Linked DNA regions of Drosophila melanogaster. The gene in region 2 interacts genetically with the main gene of each other region. Each region holds a gene or a part of one and is shown on either strand. Other genes may lie near its edges.

Evidence for each region. Genes that interact genetically often act in the same process or in processes that back each other up.
Region 1: of Rh7 (region 2) and gl, changing one enhances a phenotype caused by changing the other (phenotypic enhancement), as found in Drosophila melanogaster (one study listed by BioGRID).

What each region holds. Positions count from the first base shown.
Region 1 is NT_033777.3:18,365,584-18,375,265, reverse strand, and holds gl (glass), read left to right. Parts: upstream 1-2,527; 5' UTR 2,528-2,749; intron 2,750-3,396; 5' UTR 3,397-3,487; coding exon 3,488-3,533; intron 3,534-3,816; coding exon 3,817-3,947; intron 3,948-4,430; coding exon 4,431-5,923; coding exon of another isoform or gene 5,924-5,927; exon of another isoform or gene 5,928-6,319; coding exon 6,320-6,464; coding exon of another isoform or gene 6,465-6,689; 3' UTR 6,690-7,339; downstream 7,340-9,682. Other genes in the region: Nup43 (nucleoporin 43kD), read right to left, coding at 7,405-8,198, 8,264-8,546; WRNexo (WRN exonuclease), read left to right, coding at 9,171-9,230, 9,287-9,355, 9,490-9,594, 9,653-9,682. UniProt on the Drosophila melanogaster protein: Transcription factor required for gene expression specific to photoreceptor cells.
Region 2 is NT_037436.4:12,171,433-12,179,048, forward strand, and holds the start of Rh7 (rhodopsin 7), read right to left. Parts: upstream 4,051-7,616; 5' UTR 3,587-4,050; intron 1-3,586.

The DNA.
Region 1 (9,682 bases), on a different chromosome or scaffold from region 2:
TAATATGACCGATTGGCATTAACATGTTGAATGACTTGAGTGGCAGCATAAAAGCAAAGCGCAGCCCAAACCAGGAGAAGCCCCATCGGTGCAGCCCGAAAAGTATTTCATTGATTTTAGAAGCCTCGCCAATTCACAACGGACTACAGAGCGGCGAAGGCAAAAGAAATGGAATGAAATGAATTGAATTGAAATGAAATGAAATGTGCTCGAACACGAAATGCAGAATGAAAATGAGTGAAATTTGCCTCTCAAGTTGCTGGTGGCAACATGGGAAACGTACGCAGGGATGGGCAGCATCATGTCCTGGCATTGTTAGTCAATTGAAATGCGCAAAACAAACACCAGCTAGCAATGAGCGTTCTGGCAAACAAATCCACGTGCGATGATAAGGTGGTTGGTGGATGGGCTGGTGTGATAACAGGTCCCTCTAAGAGGGGGTGCTCGAATATGTTTACCCTGCGGCTTAATTTGTAGCAAACTCTTGAATTCTTGAATTGCGGTCAATCGAGAGATGGGAAGCAGTTTGATCAGCTGACACCTGAACGCACCACCTGAGTGGAATCTCTGGCTAATTGTTATTGATACCACCGGATTGCCTGGCTACCAGCTCGCAGCTAGCAGCTAGCAGCTCAAGGATCGCATCCTAATCCATTCTGACAATCGGCAGCAGAGACAGGCTCATGTCCTTAGCCAAGTTGTTGACATGAAACTGATACTTGAAGCGAAGTAAAAAAAAAAAGAAATATAAAAATTGAAAACTGGTTCGAATCTGCTCAGACTGTGGATCTGATTTTAACACACACGACGCTGGCTGGGCTTGACCTGAAATTCCCATCGATAAGGTAAGGTGATATGGGGGATATAGCTCGATACGTATGCGATCACTGCAAGCCTTTGCACTCAACTGATTTTGCCAATTGGCGGTGAATTCGATTTCGGGCGTGTGAACCAGGTGATCGATCCGAATTGGGATCTCTTCATAGCATTATATCTATAATATATCTTAGCTAAATATAGTCGAGTTGGGCTTAACACATCTATTTCATAATTTCCATTTGCTTTTCCATCTGGCCTGCGATTTATTCCTTGCTTTTTCTGCTGCGACCACAAATCGAACTATCAAATAACATTCAAACTATTCACGATTGTCGGCCCGGCGACAAGAGCATCGATCGATTGGCAGTCGTCATTGGCCGGGCTACAATTGAGAATCAGCGCCGGAGATAGAGATACAAAGATACACGCAACAGAAGCAGATACACACGGCCAGATACGCAGATACAAGCTACAGAAGCAGTCAGGGGGTTGCCGGCCGACTTGGCCGATGGACTGCCTCACTTAACCACAAAACAATGGAGCGAAGAGGAAGCAGAATGCCGACGAAGACGATCAATGGTTGGCAAGTCCGTAGCAACTGTCCCTCCCTCATCAGAGACCCTGCCAGAAAATTCCCATTTTAATATGTGAATTACTTTATTTTCAATACTTCTTGTATCATATTTATATCATACCAATTACATTGTTTATTAATAATCCCTATAGTACTTTTTGTTTATTATGTAATAAAATTACAATACCTTTATTTTAAGAAAGTAAATAATATGTTATATATCGAAAATATTCACTAATCACAAGCATATCAAATAGTCTCAAGTGATTTGATGTCCTCTTAAGAATTTAGCGACAATCTGCGGTTGTGCATCTATAGATTTTAAGGAAAAGGAACTTCATATCTTCTTTTCAACAAATAAAGTGAGGATACTTGTTTGTGAATTGAAAACAACGTTATTTGAACGGCCATCGATTTTGAAGTGTAACATTCTAGAGCACTAGAACTGCTTGCTAGCGATTATTTCTCGAAGTGTACTCTTTTTTCTCCCCGCCTCGTTGGTATCTGGTGTCGAGCTGTAAGATATTGGGTGACAAATAAAAACTACTGAAAACTGCTGCCGATGTAGCTGGCCACGTATGAATGGGCCTGAAACTCGGACTGGGCGGGATCGGCAGCGGAGGAGTCGGATATGGAGGCGAAGGCGAAGGCGGAGGAGGGTGACTTTGGATTTGGATGAGGATGTGGACGTGGAAGCAGCAGAGGGGTGGGTAGTAGCCGCAAAAGCCGGCAGACGGAGCGCATTGGTTGGCCAACAACGATGACGGCAGCGTTGTTGTGGTGGTGGATGGATGGAATCTCAGGAGTGGGCATGGGATATAGTGCGGGATGGCTTGGTGTGGGTATGGTATGGTATGGGTTTGGTATTGGAGGAGGGGTGCTTTCAGCAAGGGTCTCGAGTGTGTAGTGCTGCGTACTTGTGTCATTATAGCCGACCAAAGTGTGAGTGCGAGCGAGATTGTTGTTGCCGTTGTCTTTTGCGCCCTTTTGTCGCTTGTTTATAATTAAGTGAGTATGTTTTTTGCGCCCTGCTGCTTCCTCTGTAGTTGTCGGTTGTCGCTTTGCTGCCGCTCTGCCAATCCGATATATCAGTCGATTTTGGGCCGAGGTGGCTCGAACCGAACTGCAACTGACAATTAGTCGCCGTCTTATGCTCCTCGCCAAAAGTCGCTTCTTGCCCCGCACTCGAAAAATCGAAAACTGAAAACGCATAAAATTCAAATCGGAAAACAACGATCGTGTGTTACTACTTAAAACCGAGTCTTCGAAAAAAAAGTTACAAACATATTTTGCAAGAAAACGTTGAAATTCTATTGGTGATCTTGGTATCATGCCATTTGTGGATCTATTCAGAAGGTGAAAACGATTAAGAGTGCATATGTGAATAAAGAACGGAATAAACAATATTAAATCTGCAATAAAAAAGAAGAAAGAAAAAATGGAATACAACTAATGTATTTGAAATAAAACCTAATAACTGCAAATAGCTAATTAAAATGTCCTAACAATGTTTTGGCTAAGATCGAAAAAATCAATTCACTAAGAAGATTTTATCAATTTAACAATATCATAGCTTTGATCTCATTAAAAAGAAAAACAAAAATTTACTTTGATTTGCATGCATAAATTAGTTAAATAGCAATTTTAACGTTTTGTTTCTTTCAAAATGAAAGTTATTGTAATTTTAGTATAATTTTTTAGTCCTAACAATAATGAAACAATCGAATTGAAATCCATCTTCGTCATAAGAGCGATCTATAATTCGATATCTCTTTTAAATTTAGAGGTGAAGAATCTGTCATATTGTGTATCTAATTTCTGATTAGCTGTCGAACTTTATTTAAAACTGAATTTATTAACACTTTATTGAAAATATATGAAGATTAGATTTGATATTGGTATTTGATTGAATAAATAATAAATTGAATAATAGATTTGAATAAATGAATAGAAAGTGAATCTTAATTAGAATTTACCAATAATGTTCCGTCATCGCCTTGCAGTTGGAAATTAACGCATCAAGATGAAGCGTAGGAAAAGCAGGAACAAATGCGCGACTGCTGAGCCCAAACGTTCCAGAAGTGGAGTCATGTCATGGGATTGTTATATAAGGGTTCCAAACTCCTGAACACAATTCTGGGTGAGTGAAATCGGAAGCACCATTGCACAGATATGCAGATACAGCATATTGTATGGCGATACACGGATGGAAAGTCGCGAGTCGAGAGAGCAAAGCAAATGGCGGTCTCTCGATTTGTGTATTTGTGTGTGTCTGTGTGTGTCTCGAGGGGCGGAGCTAGTGCGCACAGTGGTTGTCATGGGAGCAAAAATGTATCCATGAGATACGCGCTGCTGGCGAGCATCTCTGGCGTACTTCCAGTGATTTTCATGCTGTTCTTTTTTTTTTTTTTTTGGCTGCGCAGATTCCCTGGAAGATCAAGAGGGTGGAGCTATGTACATATCGTGCGATGTCTCAAACGGCGGTCCTGTGGAACCAGAGACGGGCTATGTGCCCAACAATCCCCTGTTCGGCCTGGCGCTGGACAGCCCTCAGGTGAGTCCTGGAATCCTTTTTCGATTTCGCCTCAATATCTCCGGAAATCTTCGAGCGTTCGGTTGTGCTTGTTTCGTGGAAAGAACTTAGCTGAAATCTGTGATATACCTGAACTATTTAAATTTTATAACCAGGAAATAGAACCCAATACCGAAATTGTGGTTATTTTAATTTGCTATATCGGTAACTGAAAAATCAGACAGTTTTGTACTAAGAAGTTTATCATTTTCGTTTTTAAAGTAATCTATTACATTTTTAACCCATACGATTTTATCTATTGGGAAGTTTAATAGCTTAGAAATTCCTTCCATATGTAATACAATTAAACTCTCCTCAGAAGTCAGTATTAGAATGTAAAAATAGTTAAAATTTACTAAATGTTTCCACTAACTAACTAATTATTTTGTCTTAGTTACGTATTAGTACTAACTGAATGTATTTCATAACCGGTCTCAATCTCCATTTCCGTTTTCGCTCGTGCAGCAAGAGTGCGCCGCTTCCTGCGTCGGCTGCCTATCCTGCCAGGGCAGCACCGCCCTGCCCATCTCCTCGCTCACCAGCAGCGACTTCGACTGCGGCGGCTGTTTCGATCCCACGATTGGAGTGGGCGTGGGCATCGGTGGCGGCCACATCCAGATCAGCACGACACCACCGGCGAGCAGCGGCAACGGGAGCAGCAACAACGGTGCCGGAGGAGGCTCCTCGGGTAATCACGGCTACTGGAGCACCGACGAGATGGCTTCCACATTTCCCGGCCTACCGCCGCTGGACATCGATCCGCTGCCCAGCCTGTTCCCATTCTCGCCCTGCGGCGCTTCCTACAACTTTGCCGCCGGCAATCCGCACCAGGCCGCCTCACTCTCCTACACAGTGCATCCGCACCAGATGCTCATTTCGCCGAACTCCCACAATCATGGCCAGATGCACTCGCAGCACCAGCAGCACCAGCACCAGCAATCCCAAGTCCAGGCATCGCACGTAGGCAACTCTCTCCTCCAAAGCAGTGGTGGCAACAATATCGGCAGTAATGGTAGTGCCGGAGGAGTGGCCAACGCTGCCAGTTGCTACTATGAAACCAGTGCTGGAACGGCCGCACCACCTCCTCCTCCGGCGGCAGCCATGTATCCCAGCATGAGCGTGAACGTCAGCATGAACATGACCATGCACCATGGCTACGGTGCCGGTGATGCAGGCGGCGTGCCAATGCAGTGCTCCCAGATGAACTGGACGCCACCCAGTAACTCCACCTCGGCGGCAGCAGCAGCAGCGGCGGTAAATGTGCTATACCCACCGCTGCTGAGTCCCGGTCACTATCCTGCCTCGGCCACATATTCCTTTACAGCGGATTTTCGGGCACCGGCTCCCACGGGTCTGGGTGCCCTGCCACCGCTGACGGTGGGCGAAAAGGAGTCGCCATCGCCGCCGGCCAACTCCTCTTTGGCTGGCTACTATCCCACGGGGGTGGGCAATCAGGGATACACACCGCCCCACAAAAGTCCCACCAGCTATCAGGCAGCCGCCCTGGGCTTAAGTCTATCCGCCTTCGAGGACGAGGAGGATAGCAACGAGGATCTGGACGGCGATGAGGGCAGCAGTGGCGGCGAGATGAAACCCAATCTATGCCGGTTGTGCGGAAAGACATATGCCCGGCCCAGCACGCTCAAGACCCATCTGCGGACCCATTCCGGCGAAAGACCCTATCGATGCCCCGACTGCAACAAGAGCTTCTCGCAGGCAGCCAACCTGACGGCTCACGTACGCACACACACCGGCCAGAAGCCGTTCCGCTGCCCCATCTGCGACCGGAGATTCTCGCAGAGTTCCAGTGTCACCACGCACATGCGCACCCACTCCGGCGAGCGGCCGTACCGCTGCTCCTCGTGCAAGAAGTCCTTCTCGGACAGCAGCACCCTCACCAAGCACCTGCGAATCCACAGTGGCGAGAAGCCCTACCAGTGCAAGCTCTGCCTGCTCAGGTGAGTCCGGGATGGGGGATTTACTTACACCGTCCTTCCTCATTCCTAAACGAACGAAAATGGTTTTGCTTTTACTTTTACGTAAACCCTTAAAGCTTTAAAGATAGTTTAATAATTTCTATCGTTTCAATATAAAACTAACAACTTGAACAAAACTGAGACTGTTGCAAGCTTAAAAAAAAGGAAAACCAAAGATAATATGCATCATTCATTTTCATTCATGCATTTTCGTAAGATTTTCAACTTCAACTAAAGAACTGAAATTAAATGAAATAATAATTGTTTATTCAAATGTAATGCTAAAGATGAAAATTACCCCTTAAAAAAGGCTTAGGCCCCCAAAGAGCAGTCCTGGAACGTTATACATCGAGTTAATTGCTTTTTTGGTGTCCACAGATTTTCGCAGTCGGGGAACTTGAATCGGCACATGCGCGTCCACGGCAACAACAACAGCAGCAATGGCAGCAATGGGGCAACCGGAGTTGGTGGAGAGTCCTCCACCGGCAGCGGAGTTGGTGGTGGCAACAGCCTGCTCACATGACAAAAGCCAAGGAGTGCAGGAGGTTTCCAGCATTACCACCCCCCGCACACCCACCACATGCACCACCAGCACCACGCCCATCACCATCACCACGCCCACATGGGTAACTACGACTACGGGAACTACAGCATCGGCGATTATACTCCACCCGGAGCCACACAAAACTATTCAGGGTATTATTTCTGCGCACTCAACAAGGCGCCCAAGTTCGAACGATTCTACTAGGGACTAAAATCTGGAGGATCCCATCTGGATAAGAAACCTTAAAGGAGGACCACTCAGTGAATTATACGGGGATAGTCACTCTATCGCTGATAAATACAATAATGTATATGCCATACTCAACATTGCTGTAGAAAAATAATTTGGGTTCGTGTTAAATTGAAATCCTAATTGAACATAACGATGTAATAATACTCATAACCCAAATCCGCATCCAAATGCAGTTAAAAATGCTCAAACAATACAAATCTGAGGAATCGCGGAGAATCGAACAAAAGTAGGCCTAAGAGCTGCACTGTACATACTTATACATACTATATTTATTATATTCGCTTAGCCTAATATGCATTGAATCCAAGTTAGTTCATCCATTAAATAAGGTAGTTCAAAACACGCATAAATCTATTCCAAATTAGCCAACGAAATAGGATTTAAGACGGATATGAGTATGAATCATAAGACCAAACAACACAGCAGCACCCAAAACGAGAATATTTAAATTGGAATTGCCAAGGCATTAAACCCATAAACACCTGTATACGAATATAGAGTCCTAAGCTTAAACTAGACGTAGATGTAAGACAGGTGCTTTGATCTAAGCCAATTTTGGAGTATATAAAGAAAATAATAAATATACGAAAATTAAATACAGTAACTAATTGATTTCAACAATTGAAATATTATATAATTTAGGTAAGGAATTCAAAAGGCTTGACATTTAAACAATATTATCAACTAGGTAAACGGCTTCTGTGTCGCCTCCGCAGACCAGACGACTTCCATGCACATCGAAGGAGTTGATGGACTTGCGAACATTACTCAGCACTCCCTCCACATCGACCAGGGAGCGAACACGATCGCCAGACAACCAGGGGCTGTGTCCGTCTTTGTTATAGTCGCACCCGAGAACTTTGTTCTCTGACCACATCCACACCTCGCCACCTTCTGCGGCGGTGAACAGTTTGCTGGGATCCTTTTGATGGAAGCCTATCTCGTTGATGGGACTTTTGTGAGCGCTGAGATAGGAGGCGGGATAACTGAGGTTTCGCATATCCCAGACGGTTATGGAACCCTCTTCGCTGCCGCAAAGTAAAATATGTTGCTGCATCGGATGCTTGGCAAGGGACGAGACAAAGTTCGACTTGTCATCCTGGGAGGCCACCATAAAGGTGGTCTTCGGCTGCGCTTCAGTGGCCACTCGGGCGTCCAGCATTCGGATAACACCCATCCTATTGGCAGTCACCAGTTCCTGCTGGCTGATATAGCAAATGGAAAACAGCGCCATGCTGTCCGCCTCAATCTGTCGCTTCACCTGGCGCACATTTTCCACGGAGACGATGCTTACACACCCATCCTCGCCGGCGGTGGCGATATCCGTGCCGTAAACAGAAAGGTCGGTGCAAGGAGCGGGCTCCTGGCTACGTTGGAAGCAGTGCAGACGTCCCGATCGGGACGTACGTTGCATCTGATCCTCCTCCACGGCTCGATGGACGTTAAACACGCTGAGATGACCTTGTTTGGTATTAAAATAGACATTTATTTAGCTGAGTTCATGATTGCTGGAACTTGTAACTGACCATCGGCACAGCTCACAGCCAGCGTGTCCTTGTCGACGAACTCCATGGCGGTCACATCGTCCTCCATTCTCACCTTGTCCATGCAGCGAGGTATCTGGTCCACTTCCGAATCCGTGGCGGTGACATATTGGTTCGATTGTAGCCGCCAGAGGCGCACGAAGTTCTGGTCCATGTCCCAGCTTCCAGTAACGAACCGTTCGCTCTGCTGCAGTTCCTCCGGAAGCCAGCGCACTTGGGACACCTTCTCGGATATGTAGTGCGTGGAAACGTTTGCAATGGACATCTTTTCGTTGGATTTAGCAGAGGATTCGCGATGTAAACAAAATAATGCGGCTTTCGAGTTAAGTGTGACCAGAGCAAGAAGATCGCAACATATCTTAGCGGGAAACTTAATCTGGTATCTATAAATTGGGCAGGGCTGGAAACAAAAGCAGAAAAATTGTTATGTGGATCTATATTATGGTACTTAATGAGCTTATCTCAAAAACGATTGGTAATTCTATTATGAAATTTTCCTGAAATATCCTTTAAGGTGGTCAAGCTTGCACAGGCTCTGCGAGTGGAGATGTCCCCCAAAATGTGGGGCGCCAATTTTTCAATAGCATATTATATATACTTTCTTGAGTCCTATAAACTTATTTCGCACATAGATAGTTATATCTTTCTTTTCTTAAAAAAATTGCATTTTTAGTTTATCGAATTCACCTTGAAATAACAATAATATAAATAAATAAAAAACATTTCCTTGTTCCAAATTCTACCGTTCCTTCATAACTCATCAAGGCACTTATCGATTGTCACAGTATTTTTTCGTACTGTGGTGTTTATGTGCGCCTACCCCTCCATATTTTTGGCGGGAAATAATAGTAAACAAAGCATTTAAGAAAACGAACAAGCAACGCGGGTTATGGAAAAATATTTAACAAAAATGCCCATCAAATCAAAAGCAAATGAAGTTCCCAAGGAAGTAGGCTAATACACAATTTCGTGCAGGGATAAAAACTAACTTAAAAGTATTTGTAGGAGGCGGGCGTCAAAAAGGAGACTCCCAAAGTGGCAAGGAAAGCAACAAAAAAGGATACTCCAAAAGAGGTTTGCATTTGTTTATTATTTAGAATTTATTATTTAAAATACTGCTACTGCTTTTTTCAAAACTAAGAATCGGTTTCTGTAAATCGGAAGCAATAATGACTATGTATACTATTTCAACCGAATAAATCTTGCAGTTGAAAGATAAAGAAAATGCTGGAGATGATAATACGCCAAAGCAAACGAAAGGAAGACCCGGTAGACCGGCTGCCAAGCGAAAAAATCTGGATACTCCAGATGTGGTAAGCAACAATTTATATATTAAGTTTATATTGGGACGAAGCATTAACAACTTTATAGAAGACTGAGAAGTTAGCGATGGAGGAAGAA
Region 2 (7,616 bases):
AACTTTTCAATGGCAAATACAATTTAGATATCAAAAGCGTTTTTGCTTTTTGTTATATTCGAAATTAGCGTACCGTATGAAATTCATACTATGCTTTTCAGAAACCGATTAGGCCAATTGAGTGTCATTCAGGATCTTCAAAGGACCCAGCTGAGCAGAGAAAGAGAGAGAGAAACGAAGAGCTGTTAGCCTCTTGTTCGCCGTTCTTTGATGAAATGCGCAGGCAGGCGTGACTTGTTTGTGCCCATTCTACATTCATTCGATTAGGCCAGGTCCTCTTGACGGCCAACGGGCTGGGCCGACTTCTGCGATTCAAACACCCCCATGCACACCACAATACACCCCACACTACATCCACTATCAGCCCCAAATGCGACAAGGCCGTTCACTAGTGAGCACTACTAAACAAAAACGGAACCCATCACTTAGACTCGTATTTTTACAAAGCGGATATGCGCGATTTTTTGCTCTTCTGCATTTTGTTATTTATTTTTGCTGTTTTTTTTTTGCTGTATGCACAGATGCATTTTGTTCCTTTTATTTAGCCGCCACAATTTCATCCGCTCTCAAAATTTAATTACGAGTGGAAATGGCTTAAAGTGCTCAGTTCTGTTCTGTTCGTTGCAGTTTGGTTTTTATCCTGCGGCAATGGAAGCCGCGGGATGATTGCGCGGATACAATTATCCAGCCACTCGGGTGAAATGGGCGGGAAAACGCTACAACGGCAGCGAAAAAGAGCATGAAAACAATTTATTAAAATTAAGTTTCAATTTGAGCTGGTTTTTTGTATTTTTAATTCACCGGAAGAAGCTGCCACAATAATCATATTGCGAGTTTTTGCCATTTTTGGTAGGCAGAGCAACGGGAGCATAATTCAAACGAAACATGCTTGGCAAATAGTTTATCATTTGGGCTTAAATTAGTTTCATTCTTTAGCCGCCTTTCTGCGAATTTTTTATGTAATAAACTTCAGGCAAGCTCAAAACTTTTATAGCAAGTGCACTTAATTAAATGTAAGCTATTTCAAAATATATATTTTGGAACTGGAAGATCAGCATGAACGTTAAAATTGATGTAATATATGCGATTTACTATAGACTTTTTAAGGTATACCATTGCCTTAGTTTACAAACCTTAAATCCTCATAGATATCCAAAAAGGGTTATAAGTGATGTTTTGTGTGTATTTCTTTAACAAGAGTTTTTGTTAAATAGAAACATTGCAAAGTCACGAAATCACGTTCATACACAATATTACCAATCTGAGTTGGCTCATTCCTGCGACCCACGCAAGCAATCATCACATGTGTCCTGGTCCACCACTTTTGTCGTGTGCCCGGCAATCAAAGGATAACACCAGCTGATTTGGGAACATGAAATACAAGTCGCTAAACCTGAGTAGGGAGCACATTTCCCAGCTGATATATATACATATATATTTTTTTGTTGCCTGCCATGGGAGCCCATGACCCCCCTTGGGTGTATTGATTTATGCTCGCGCAAGTTTTCATTTCACAATTTTCACTTATGTATGGCAGTTTATTGCAGTCCTCATCTGCACTCAGCGCTTTCGTCCTGCCACGTCCTTAGCTTCCACAACCCCCCCCAACCCCGCGGACCGCACGTGCTCGGCTGGTCTCGTTTTTCCACCAAATGTAAAGCCAGCAGCCCAAGGCTGTGACAAAACAGAAAGTTCTACCATGCCGCCATCATCAACAGGCTCTTAACGGCCTAAACATGCAGGAAACAAAAAGGGGGAAGCGTTTGAAAAAAATTTCAGAAAAATCCCAAAGGACATTTTAATTTAGAGGGATTATGAAACTCTGCGATTTATGATGGCAAAACAGAAACACGCCGCTGATTGCTTAAAAAAACAAAATTGTATTCGTGTACAATCCTTTTAAACGTAAATCATACTCTAAAGCTATCAAAGCTTTTTGATATTTTATAACTTAATATTTTGACTTAAATATTTGACAGTGTAGGTGACAACATTTTAATGACCTGTCATTCTCGAAATTGAATTTATGATATCACCCAACGCGTCAGTTGGATAAATTCAAATTCGACTTTATTAAAGTGTAATGCTGAATTGTGTTCAAAAATATATGACATGTTAATGTTCTATCAATGTGTTATAATACTTAAATAAAATAATTGAATGGATATCAATTTACAGCAGTTAGAGCGATTTGTGGTCCTATTTTTTGCTCAGTGCAGTGGCGATGAATGCTAATTCATGTAACTGAGATAGGGAGAGCACGTTGCAGAAACTGAGATCTGCGCCGCATTAGAACATGTCAAGTATCCAATCTGGCCTGAATAAAGCCACGGCGCCTTTAAGCTGCGAATTCCCATTGTGACCAGGACCGAGACCCAGACCAAGACGACCAAGACGAACACTAACCGGAGAATGGGTCTCCATCAACCATCAGTCGGTGCAGTGGCCGGAATGTAGGCAAAAACTGTGAAGAGCACTCATCGTTTCATACGGGTATGTTGGCCAGGGAAATGAAATGGAATGGCTCGGCGAAGTGGGTGGCCAGGATGAGCTGCATATCTCCAAGACATCCAAAGAGGCCATCTCAGAGGCCAAGCGCTCGAGAAGAGCGCCCCCAAGAAATGCGGCTGACTGGCTGTCCACTGGAGAAGACCACTTCATGGGACTTACGTTCGGGCAACCAAATGCGAGATGCCGGGTTCCATTTGTTTGGGAAAGTGCCTGTGTGGAACATCGCCACTCAGGTGTGTCAAGCCGAACAAAGCGTGCGGAGATGGGGCCAAAGGAGCCAAAAACGAATCAGTCGAAAGGACTCAGGATTGCCAGAAAGAGAGCAGCCCGTCCACTTGGCCAATAATTCCTAGGCATTCCACTTATTTTCCATTAGGCAAAAGCCGCTTATTGCCAGCTAAGGCCGCCCTCAAGTGTTTTGTTTGAATTTGTTCTTTTGGCTTATAAAAATAAGGCCCTCTTCAGTAGACCTCAATCAAATTAACACATAATTATGCAGACAAATCTGCGCTTATCGCTCACAAACAATTACCTAGGCATTACTTTTATTTAAATGGTATATATTAGGTGACAGGGAACAAGCTATGATATTATTATAATTATTATATTAATTCCTTAGAACACGAGATTGGTAATTTTGTTGAAATCTCTTTCAAGTGAATTTTGATTATAACAAATTTCATAGCATTTTCTGTTTACGTTACTAACGCAGTTTAATATTTTTAAGAGCAATGTATATGCTTTTGATATTAAAATTGACAGAATACAGTTCGTTTCACTGATTAAAATTTAGTGTTTGCTGAGCTTTAGCTTGTAATTTTACAAATGGTGTACAGATGCGTGTTGAATTAAAAAGAAATTTAATTCTGCAACTCACATTAAATCGAATTAAACAAAATATAGTCCTTATGTTGGCTGCTTGATTCCCTATGCGACAAGAATAAACACTCGTTTTGTTGCCAAGTAAATAAAGTTCATTTTATTCCAAGACAACCATAAATTTGCCAAAGGACGCAAACCGTTTACGGAAATATGGTAAAAAATGTTTTAAAGAAAAAATGTTGCCTCTGCTCACCTGCAGGGATGGTTATTGAGTTAGTTTCTGTTTTCGTAAACTTGGAGGTCACTTTGCTGATTTTCCATTGTGCATTGCAAATATTTTTTTTTCACCGAACTGTGTCCTCTTCAATTCAAAATTTTTTATTTTTTTTCGCGAAACACTTGAATTTGTTTGTAAGGTGCTGAGTCTTTACAAAGTTTACTTTTCAGTTTGTCATCGTTCGGGTCCGAAAGTTGGCCAGCACCAATTGCCAACTGGCGCCAACCGGACACAAAACTTTAACTCAATTTCCGCCGATTACCCGGAAAATTTATCTATGTATAGTACGTAAAAATGCAAGTAGCGTTTTAAGCCCGTCCTTTGACAGCGTAGTGGCTTTGGACAAGCTATTACTTGGTAATACGCGGCGAATACGCAATTTTCAATAACACCGCCAAACGGCTCGGGGATTTAAGGCATCCGCATCCGTTGCATCCCAGAGCTCGAAACTGACTGACTGAGGACTCGCGTACGACTGAGTTTCAGGACCCAGCAGCTGGTGTTTTTATCAATGAAAATTGTTGCTTGTCGGCATCCTTTTTCCGAGCCGAGGCTGCGAAAGAGAAAGCCAACGAGCGAGCAAAGAGCAGGTCCTTTTTTGGTCCCCGCTCTTAGCCGTGTACTATGCGGTTGGCTATTCAGAAGCCATCATAAGTTGGCTTTCCGGACTCATGTTTGCCAAGGCTATTCACATTTCATTACGGCCACTTGTGTGTTGTTCTTGAACTCGGCAGACGAAGAATCTCCCGAGATGTTAGTGGGTGTTTCTTGGTCTGCCGGCCATTCATTGGCTTCTGCGAGTTCGGGTGGTGCTGGCCACTGGGCATGGGTGGGTCAGGTGCTTGGGCCACCGTGTGGGTGTGGCGGGTGTTCATTGATAAGTTCACTTGGTCTGCTGAGCAGCACGTGTGCGTGTCAAAAGAGCCGCAGCCCTATAGATAGGTGATATTATTTTAATATGACCGAATGCCAGTATGATGATGATGCGGTGCCAGTAACAGGAATTTATGCCTGGCCATGGTAACATAATGGGTATCAGTTAGGCGTACCATCATTACAAGGTTAGCTTGTGAGAATTTTTGATTAAAAATTATTATTAGCACTCATTTATTATTATTTATATTTATAATATATGAGTTGTCATAGGCTATGAAGTAAGTTAAAGGTCAAGCTTATTCAAAAGGAAATACCAACTAATTTTACATTTTGCCAGTTCACTCTTAGTTTTGGAATACCTATTAAATTAACATTAACATCCTTTAGGAAATTATCAGATATGTTATTTTAATACAGAAAAACAGATACCATTACTTTCATGTTTGATCTATTACCAATTTCCCACACATATATCACAAATAATAATTACACAGTATTAATAAACTCATAAACACCTTGGTCTATGGTTTTTCGAGGAATTTTTGCGCTTGACTGCGGTACAAAATTGTCGAGTTCGAGAGGCGATGACAAACTGGCGGCATTTTTCTGGTTTTCTGGTCTGGCATCGTCATGAACTATTTGAGAGCAAACCCCGTAAATTGAGCAAAGCCAGCCGCAGTCGGTCGGCAGTTGCACTTTAATTAAAAATAAATACGATTTCCCCCCCACCCTACTCCGTTCCATTTGCACACCCCCCTCCCCGCCACCATCACTTGGCAAATGCCAACGAATCCAAGTCTAATGATTATTGATGTTCCTACTGATGGCTTGACTGCTGTTTGCAGCCAGCTTTTTGACCCGTCTAACAAAAAGGTTGTGTTTTTTGCGTAGACTGACCTACGGTGGACATGGCTACAATTACGGATAATGCTCCGGGGTTAGCTTTATAATTCTGCCGATTTGTTAATTTGTGTACCTGCACCTTTCACGTGCTTTTTGTGTCCCCAACTTGGCCAAATTGTGGATCTAAGTTCTGTCAACGAGGTATTTCAATACTCTTGGAAGCTTAATAACATTTAGGCGACGACTTAACCTTCAAAATCTTCTCTTTATACACTAAAATATTTAAAGCCAAAACTGTTAAAATGGTTGCCTTAAAGTAAAAATACAAAATGAAAACAACATTATGATTCTTATGTTGAAATGTGAATAAGAGAGTGGCAAGGATAGCCGCTTTTTAGCTGCAAGACTCGAATGATTAAGTGCATTTTAAATATTCATACATATATGATATTCTTTTACGACAATGACCCCTTAAAACTTAAAAAATCAGATACCATTTGTGACATTCCCCCAAAAGGGAGTTAAACAAAAACGCCTTTAGACGCAGACATTTTCTCATACATAGAGCATGTGCACACCAACGAACTTTTGCCGGCTGTCTTTCCGGTTTAGATATTAAAAGTTTTGCTTTGTGGCACTAAATTATACGACATTTACGCATTCGCCGCCGGCTGTTAGTACTCACAAATAAAAATATACGTACATACATATATTTTTCATAGCTTGCAATTCACAGCAAAGAAAAAAGCACTTATTCTTTCTCCATTTCAGATGCTGTCTCTGTCTGCTGATTCCCCTTTGCTCCAAAAAAAAAAAAAACAAAAAACCCCGAGCAGAGTAATTAGTGACTTGTACAAAAAAAAAAGGAATACAAAAGAGTCTATTATAAACACGGGACATACATAAGTGTAAGTGTTCTATGCGCAAGTTTTCCAGATTTTAGACTGATTTTAGCTGCTTGTAGAAAAATGACATTTATGTATGTACATATGTACATACATATTTGCTCGCTTGACATATCACGGAGGTCGTTTTAATACACGCCTTACCTGATTTTTTTAACCCTCGGCTTGCCCAGATGAACGACAATGCAAAGTGCTTAACAGCCCAAGTTCAGGTGAAAAATTTCCATTGCCAAAGCCGAACTTTGCGGGATGAGTCAGTCATAACTGGCCTAAAAAAGTTACCAAAAAAAAAAGCGTAGAAAATAAGCGGCAACCGTACGCTGTGCGTATTAAAATTCTGTTGGATTATCTGCTTGCTAGTTGTTTAATTAATTGTTTTATTTTTTGTCGATCTATTCGCTTGGCATTGCAATGCATTAATTAATTTGCAATTCTTGATTGTATTAAACTTTTTTGCCTGCAATTAAATCCCTATTATTTTGCCATAACATAACTAATTGTTTAAACAAAAAAAAAAATATCAGTTCCCTTTGAAGTTTTCACTGGAGACAAGTTAAATGAAATGACGCAAATAATATACATATGAATATTGTTAACATCGAAGATATAAAGCATTCCTTTGTTCAGATCAATTATGGCTGTTAAATCTGATTGACTAGGCTGGTTTGCCCACTGAATTAGCTAAGATCTGTGCGCGTTTAGACAACCTATCATCAGTTTGAAAACCGGAAATATCCCACTCCGTTTGTTTTCCGACCCCAAATTAATGTAATGGCGTTGCGTTAATCTGTTTGCCAGTTTTAAAGGTAGTGATAACTATTGATTCGTTTGCGGGATTCGATGGAAAAGCCATGGCTATCGATGTCGGGGGAAATGGTTACATCGTGGAAAGTGGAAAACAAACAGGCTGCACAATGCGATTAGCATGCAATAGTAATGCCATTTAATGTGCCTAGTGCATTTGCGACATGTGATGCAAAGATAAACAGCAAAGCAATCAGGCTGAGTATCGCACACAGATATGGAGATAAGCCCCCACAATTTCACCGATCACCCCCCAGCCATTCACATATTCGTACATATATATATATACATATGTATATATGTTTGAACAATACTCTGAGCTGTCGATCATCCGGAGCCCGAAGTTTTCGGGTTTTGTAACCCCCTCAAGTCAAGACCTAACTCTCTTTTATTCGAGTGTTTTCGACTCGAACAATCGAAAATTGACTTTCCAGTCGCGTCTTTCGGTCTTCCCCGCCATGGATTACCATCTTTATCGCAGTCATCTAATTTGGCAGTTACTCATCGACGGTTAAGTCCGGCACGCACACCATTAGTCACTCGGCTATAAATTAATCGCTGGTTTTTCGGACCTCGCA